2 linked regions of the Mus musculus genome follow. The protein of the gene in region 2 interacts with the protein of the main gene of each other region in a pairwise test. Links are inferred from orthologs where the notes say so. Each region holds a gene or a part of one and is shown on either strand. Other genes may lie near its edges. The genes, in order: Mavs and Ddx58.

Region 1 (4,381 bases), on a different chromosome or scaffold from region 2:
TAGGGACAGGCAGTTGTGGACATCAGAAAACAGCTCTGGGGAGTTCTTCTACCATGTCTGTCCCAGGCAATGAATCTTATGTGTGATTTGCATATGCTGAAGGTTGTGAACAGCTACCAAGAACAGTGTGGTTTGAATGAAAAAGGCCCCTATTGGCTCATAGGGAGTGGCATTATTAGGAGATGAGGCTTTATTGGAGTGGGTGTGGCCTTGTTGAAGAAATTCAGAAGCTCCACCTAGGCTCAGTGACTTGCTCTTCCTTCTTGCTGCCTGAGGATGCAGAGGCAGAACTCTCCGCCCCTCTACAGCACCATGTCTGCCTGCTATGGTGCCTACTTCACCTTGCTTCCTGCCATGACCACATTGAACTAAACCTCTGTACTGTAAGCAAATGCCAATTAAATTTTCTAAGAGTTGCCATGCTCATGATGTCTCTTCATAGCAACGGGAACCCTAACTAAAACAAACAGTAATAAAATCTAATTTCATTCAAAGAGTTCCAGCATGGTGGCAGCTCTAACCTCAGTGCTCCCTTAGGCTTGTCTTTAAAACTGTATTAGATAGGAGATTATAGCATTAAGTATGTCATTGATGCATTTTTCAGCTTTTTTCCTGTTTTATATTTATGATGGGAGGGGTGATAAATGCCAATGCTTTTTGGAGTTAGTTCTCTTTCCATTATGCAGATTACAGTGGTCAGACTCAGATCTCTGGCTTGGCAAAAAGTGCCCTTACCTGCTGAGCCATCTCACCAGCCCCAGTTGATATATTTTTACATGTGCTCCAGCTGCGTACTCTCCACCTACATCGAGTTATAAGACATTTCTACCATCTAGCCGTGCTGAGGTAACTGATTTCTTTTTAACTATGTTCGTTTTTTACTTCTGGTTGAAAGAATTGACTGGAAGCGAAAAGCTTTCGTTCCTTTGTCTCTGTAAGCCAGTGGAGGTCAGAGGAGTCGGGTTACCCTGGTGTTGGAGCTATAAGCGGTTGTAGCTTGGTGCATATCCCCAGATAGATGCAGTCTTTTGCTGCATCCTGTTCCTACCAGCCCAGCTGGTGTCATCTGGCTAGGCACTCATGTCCCTATGACATTTTGTGCGACACTACGTTTATGGAGCACTGGAGACATAGGAGCAGATCACATGAAGACCCTCTCTCCTCCAGTACTTGGCTAGAAGATCTGCTTTGCCTGAGGAATGGAACGGAATCTAAGAACTGCAGTTTTCTGGGTATCTGGACTTCCCCTGAAAAGTGTTCTAGACTAAGCAGGAAGAAACAATCTCCCTAATGCACCTGCAGGAAATCAGAAGAGACCTCAAGCAAGGCCTGCGGGGCACCAGCCGCTAGACCAGCCGCTCCGGAACATCAGGACTCATCCACTGGCCCTGCGACCGGCCTAGCTCAGCTCCGCCCAGGCATCCCCAGCCCAGCCAACAGCCGTACTTCCAACTCTATCACAGTCTGGCTCTGCCAGGCCAATGACTGCGCTTCCGATCCCGCCCCTCCTCCCCACGCCTGACCAATAGCTGCGTGGCTGGCTTCGTCCCGCCCCCTTCATCTGCGAGGGCTCTGCACAGTCGAACGCGGTCAACCTGTTGCCTAGTCTGGTTTCTCTTGGTAAGTTTGCAGCCTGGGCGTCGGTGCTCAGGACTCTGTGTTCACTGAGATCCTTCAGGGAGGGAACCTTGGCTAGGGCCAGTTACGCCTGGGAGTCCGCATGGGCGCCCTGGGCCTGGGCGCGTGGGGTCGGAGAGGCTCCTGAACTAGGGGAGAATGAGGTCGGCCACACACGGATTCGCGACCCCGGCAGTTCCTTGATCCGCATCCAGCACCTTTAGCAAGCAGGTAGGTGGTGCCGAGAGTTTGCCCAGGCTGGACAGAAAGAACCTCGGAGTGCCCCCTGCTTCTCCCAGGCCCTGGTGACTCGAGCGAGGCCTGGCTACGAGCAACGACCTGTGGCAGCCGCGCCAGGGAGTAGGCCTGCCAGTCCGGGCTACGGCCTGATCCTGGATCTGGGCAGTTGCAGGCAATAACATCTGTTCAAAACAGCCTCCCTGCACTTGGAGACCTGAGTCCCGACAGGAATCTAGTCCGAGGCCAGGAGACTTGTCCCTCGGGAGTGTGGATATTTATTTCCACGACCCGGACAGAAGCTCTGTGGAAGTCAGGTCGGAAGCTTTGCTGTGTCCAGGACACTCTTGCCACCTCCCTTTCTGTTATAAGAAAGGGTCTGATATAAGAAAGAAGTTTGAGGAAAAGGATGAAATCAAAAGAAAGCAGAAAACAATGTTCTTTGGATACCGGGAAGCTTCAAAAACTTGAAGGGCATTCAGCCTCGATCTCAGAACTCAGGTGAATGTCAGTAAGGGCAGCATTGATGCCAGTTGTGTCTGAGAGACTTTTATGTCTTCAAAGAGCCTAAATGCTGCATCTTCTCACCCTATAGTCACATCCCCAGGCAGTGACCTTGGTGTAAAGAGGGGCTTTGTGGTTTTCCTGCTGCAGGGACCTCTATGCTGTTAGGTCATGGCAACAAGTCTGGGTACAAATTCCACACTGCAGGTCAGCCGTGTAGCTTGGTATCACTTCCTCTCTTGTGATTGTGTTAAAGGACATAAGTAAAAGGACCTCAGGCTGCCTCTGTTAACAGAGAACCTTCGAGAAATGAATAACTGTGAGCTTCCTCTGCTTTTGGTGGGGCTCCATGCCACTCCCCGCCCCCAGGCTGCATTCAGAGTTGTGGTTGGACTGCAGAAAACCAATAATTTGACTCCCTCATCGTCACATCTTTCTAGGTGACCTGGGAAAGGGGGAGGAAGGGTTTCATCAGGCTGGCCTCTACAGAGGCCTCATTTTTCATCCCCTGAAGGCTCAACAGACCTCAATCTTATCTCCTTGATCTCCCAGCCTTCCATCCTTAGCTCTTTGTAGGAATGTAGCATTTGGTAGTTAGCAGTGGCAGAGGTCACTAGGCAGAACTGGCACCCCGCCTCCCACGTGGCAGGGGCCTGCACCTGCAACAGCCGTGGGTACTCCCTGCACTGTCTCTCAGAGGCCTCAGACTCCATGATGGGCACTTGGTTCCCTCTTCTATCCCTTCCTTCTTCTCTCCTGAACAATACTCTTGGAAACCAACAGCTTGTTAAACTTGTCAAAACGGAGCTCTGAAGGGCCATCTTTCCATGGCTTCTTACTGCCTTCCCTAGAGTTGAGTAAATGGCACCTTCCTTGCCCCACTTCCCAAGAAGCCATGTTTGATTGCCACCCTACCTCCCTTGTCTACAAAGCACCAGGAATATAGCTGCTCATCCCCTCTGTTGCCACCCGGGCCACACCCTTCATCATCCTCTCACAGGGCCCTGACTTGTCACCCTCCTTCCATCCTGGGCTTCTCAAAGACCTTAGAACCTCCAGAGAGTTCTGCAGTGCAAATCAGAGCCCAGGCTCTCCAGTGGTTCCCCATATCACATCAAGTAAAACCCAAAGTCCTTCCCACAACACCTTACGTGCTGGTGGCCTCTTTGACCTTGACCTCTGTCCTTCCCCTCAGCTTTAAACGTCACTCACCTAGATTCTCTTCACTCCAGATTCCATCCCATCTTAGAACTTTGGCATCTGCTTTGCCTTCTGCCCCAGACTCCAGTCTTTTCACAATGGAAAATCATTCAGTGAGATGTTACCAATCGCGGCTTTCCTGGATCACCTCTGTTTAAGCAGGGATTTCCTCCTGGAGTTCTGTCCCACTGTCTCCTTTTACTTTCTAAATAATCAGACTTACTTCCTGGGCTTGTCATTTGGGTATGTGCTAATGGATCTGGTGCCTGTTCCACTCCAATGGTACTTAAATTGGATGTGGCATATCTTGTCTCTCTTCTCCCCAAGGTGGAGGACAGCTAAGAGACAAGTAATCAAAACACGTGATTACAGATGGTGGTGCTTCGTAAGCAATGCTTGCATTTAAGGCACTGCCAATGTCTAAATGGTGGGATGGCTCAGTAGGTAAAACTGCACGCTGTGCACTCCTGACAACCCGAGTTCAATCCCTGGAAGCCAAGGTGGAAGGAGAGAGCCAAATCACAAAAAAATCGTCCTCCAATTTTCATGTGTATGCTGTGACATGTGTGCACACATTACACACCTATCGTATACATGCAATAATAAATGAGTGAACAGATAAAAGTGGTGTATTTTTTAAAATGTAAGCTTAGATGTTCTGGAAAAAAGGCTTAGTGGGTGAGAGCACTGCCTGCTTTCCCAGAGGACCAGAGTTTGAGTTCCAGTACCCACGTGGCAGCTCACGACCATCTGTGGGTGCTCTCTGCTGGCCTCTGTAGGAACATGGTACACAGACATCCATGCAGGCAAAACACTCAAGTAC
Region 2 (3,812 bases):
TCTTTAGCTGCCCCACCCCTTCCACTTTTCTGCTGTGTTTCTTTTACTCTCTTAGCAAAAATTGGAATGAAAGACCACAAATGTATTTGTAATTCAAAATGCTTGCTGCATCAGCTATACTCGTTACTGTTGCCATAGGGCGTTCATTCCCACCCACCCCCAACCCCTTAGTCCAGCAGTTGCTTCAGAGTTTTGAAGAAGAGGAGGAAGCCTTTCTTCTTCCATGTGACACCCTCCACTGCGACTTCTGCTTACTGTGGGGAACTTGAGTGGAGGACGGGAGTGTGCATAGATGAAAGAGTGGAGGACGGGAGTGTGCATAGATGAAGGAGTGGAGGACGGGAGTGTGCATACATGAAGGAGTGGAGGACGGGAGTGTGCATACATGAAGGAGTGGAGGACGGGAGTGTGCATACATGAAGGAGTGGAGGACGGGAGTGTGCATACATGAAGGAGTGGAGGATGGGAGTGTGCATACATGAAGGAGTGGAGGACGGGAGTGTGCATACATGAAGGAGTGGAGGACGGGAGTGTGCATACATGAAGGAGAGGAGGACGGGAGTGTGCATAGATGAAGGAGAGGAGGACGGGAGTGTGCATAGATGAAGGAGAGGAGGACGGGAGTGTGCATAGATGAAGGAGAGGAGGACGGGAGTGTGCATAGATGAAGGAGAGGAGGACGGGAGTGTGCATAGATGAAGGAGTGGAGGACGGGAGTGTGCATACATGAAGGAGTGGAGGACGGGAGTGTGCATACATGAAGGAGTGGAGGACGGGAGTGTGCATACATGAAGGAGTGGAGGACGGGAGTGTGCATACATGAAGGAGTGGAGGACGGGAGTGTGCATACATGAAGGAGAGGAGGACGGGAGTGTGCATAGATGAAGGAGAGGAGGACGGGAGTGTGCATAGATGAAGGAGAGGAGGACGGGAGTGTGCATAGATGAAGGAGAGGAGGACGGGAGTGTGCATACATGAAGGAAAGGAGGACGGGAGTGTGCATAGATGAAGGAGTGGAGGACGGGAGTGTGCATACATGAAGGAGTGGAGGACGGGAGTGTGCATACATGAAGGAGTGGAGGACGGGAGTGTGCATATGAAGGAGTGGAGGACGGGAGTGTGCATACATGAAGGAGTGGAGGACGGGAGTGTGCATAGATGAAGGAGAGGAGGACGGGAGTGTGCATAGATGAAGGAGAGGAGGACGGGAGAGTGCATAGATGAAGGAGTGGAGGACGGGAGTGTGCATACATGAAGGAGTGGAGGACGGGAGTGTGCATACATGAAGGAGTGGAGGACGGGAGTGTGCATAGATGAAGGAGAGGAGGACGGGAGTGTGCATAGATGAAGGAGAGGAGGACGGGAGAGTGCATAGATGAAGGAGTGGAGGACGGGAGTGTGCATAGATGAAGGAGTGGAGGACGAGAGTGTGCATACATGAAGGAGTGGAGGACGGGAGTGTGCGAGGATGGATGAGTGGAGTCTGCTGCCTCTCAAAGGTCTTCTGGTTCCATGAGTTGTTATGACTCCCAGACCCACATGGGAAGGTCTGGTCTGTTATCTTCCAGTGACTAGTGCTTCTGCAGGCTACTCACTTGCCCTTGCTTCTGTTTGCAGAGGAGGTGCAGTACATTCAGGCTGAGAAGAACAACAAGGGCCCAATGGAAGCTGCCTCACTCTTCCTCCAGTACCTGTTGAAGCTGCAGTCAGAGGGCTGGTTCCAGGCCTTTTTGGATGCCCTGTACCATGCAGGTTGGTTCCTTCTTCTTCCTCACAGTTCAGAGTACTTCACTCTGCTGCCTCAGAAGGCTGAGGGGAGAAAAGTGACTCGTTCTGTGACATCTGTGTGTGGCTTCTGCCTCAGGCGGGAAATGTAAAGACTATTTTGAATCAGATAAGAGAATGGTTTATACCAGAAATATCCAAAGCAATCTACAGAGTTGTAACTACTAGGAGAGGTGACAATATTAGTAGCATGCCGGTATCTTTCAAGAGGAGAACGAGTAAATAAATCGGTTTTATAATGTTTACAGTGCTCCATTATACTGCAATGAAGCGTGTGGACATGTCTGTAAATGACAACCCAGCTGAACTGTAGGCACGCAGCATTTAAATTTGAATATCATAAACTATAATAGCTATAAAGTTCCACATGAGTCAAACTAAACATATAGGGAAGGAAACTGGATCTTGGGCGACCCTGGCTGACCAGTCCTGGGGAGTAAGCTTAATAAACTCTCCCTGTCTGACTGAGATCGGTGTCCTGTGGTTTGTGAGGCAATTCCTGGACTCTAACACTTAGGCAATTACATTTCTTGCCCCTCTGCCACTCTAGCTTATTCACTGGTGAAAGAAGGAGAATACTTTAGTGTTACCAACAATGGGGGGGGGGGGGCGGGGGATGGGAAATGGGAAAAAGCAGGCCCGGCCCAGTGTAGTAAGAAAGAAACACCAAAGAAAGCCAAGGGCTCCTGTTGCTTTCATTGTATTGGAGTGTTTGTCAGTCGGCTGGGGGATGGGGTGGGGGGTGGGGAAGCACACCTTTAATCCCAGCTCTGGGGAGGCAGAGGCAGGCAGATCCCTGTGAGCTCCACCAGTCATGGCTGGCCTCAGCAAGAACTGTATCCATCACATCCTAACACAGGTGTGTTGAATTAACATGGTACTGTTAAAGCAAACACGCTGCCTTCCTCGGGTGCTGCGGTCCCTAGGAAGCCACACATTGGCAGCATGTTGGCAGCAGTTGTATAAAAACTAATGCTTTTTTTTCCTTTTCTTTTTAATTCGGTAAAAGGGTTTAAATGTCATTTGTTATAAAACTTGGTTTCCTGCTATTTCCAGGATTAACAATTGACTTATTCTTTCTATTTCCTGCTTTATAGACCATCATTTTGATACATTATCTATTTGCATCTCAGTGATACATGCTTATCTTACCCTTTTATTTCGTTTTAAGAATTGTGTGTGTGTGTGTGTGTGTGTGTGTGTGTGTGTGTGTGTGTGTGTGTGTGTGTCTGAGAGTGGGCATGCATTTATGAGTGCATTGCCTAGAGGTCAGACATTCCCCTGGAGCTGGAGTTAATGGCAGTTGTGAGGGACTGACGTGGGTGCTGGGATCTGACCCCAGTCCCCTGCAAGAACACGATGAACCTTACTTGCTAAGCCATCTCCCCAGCCCTTAGCTGTTGCAGTTACTCTCCATTCCAAATAAGCCCTGGCAATGAAAACAAGACTTAATTCATATGAATACATGCTGTGCACCTAGATTGGGCAGATCTACCGCTACACTACCATCTTCTCCATCTATGAGACTCCCCCTTTTTTTTTTCTTTTTTTCTTTTTTGTGGTTTTGGTTTTTTGAGACAGGGTTTCTCTGTATAGCCCTGGCTGTCCTGGAACTCACTTTGTAGACCAGGCTGGCCTCGAACTCAGAAATCCGCCTGCCTCTGCCTCCCAAGTGCTGGGAATTAAGGCGTGCGCCACCAGGCGGTTTCTCCAGGCTGTGTGCTTCTGCTCCACTTTTCTTCCTCCTCCTCTGTGGTATCCTCTCCCTCTTCCTCTTTCTCCTTCTCTCTTCCCACCTTCCTCTCCAACTTCCCTTTATCAGCCCAATCACCAGCTCTCCTTTATTTTACTAATTGAGGTGGGAAGCAGGTTTACAGGAAATCACCGGAGTGCTGACTCATTCCTTGTTCGCAGCCACTCAATGCAGAATGGAATTACCATCAAATATAATTAGCCCCAGGGCTATCCACAACACTTACCTAGCACATCAAATGGCCCAGCAGGGGATCAAGAGAAAAGGAAACTCA

The links.
Region 1: the proteins of Ddx58 (region 2) and Mavs interact in binary tests that used the Homo sapiens proteins (3 or more experiments, as listed by UniProt). The link is inferred for Mus musculus from reciprocal best matches to the Homo sapiens genes RIGI and MAVS.

What each region holds. Positions count from the first base shown.
Region 1 is NC_000068.7:131,232,508-131,236,888, forward strand, and holds the start of Mavs (mitochondrial antiviral-signaling protein), read left to right. Parts: upstream 1-1,555; 5' UTR 1,556-1,620; exon of another isoform or gene 1,621-1,848; intron 1,849-4,381.
Region 2 is NC_000070.6:40,233,188-40,236,999, reverse strand, and holds part of Ddx58 (antiviral innate immune response receptor RIG-I), read left to right. Parts: intron 1-1,617; coding exon 1,618-1,752; intron 1,753-3,812.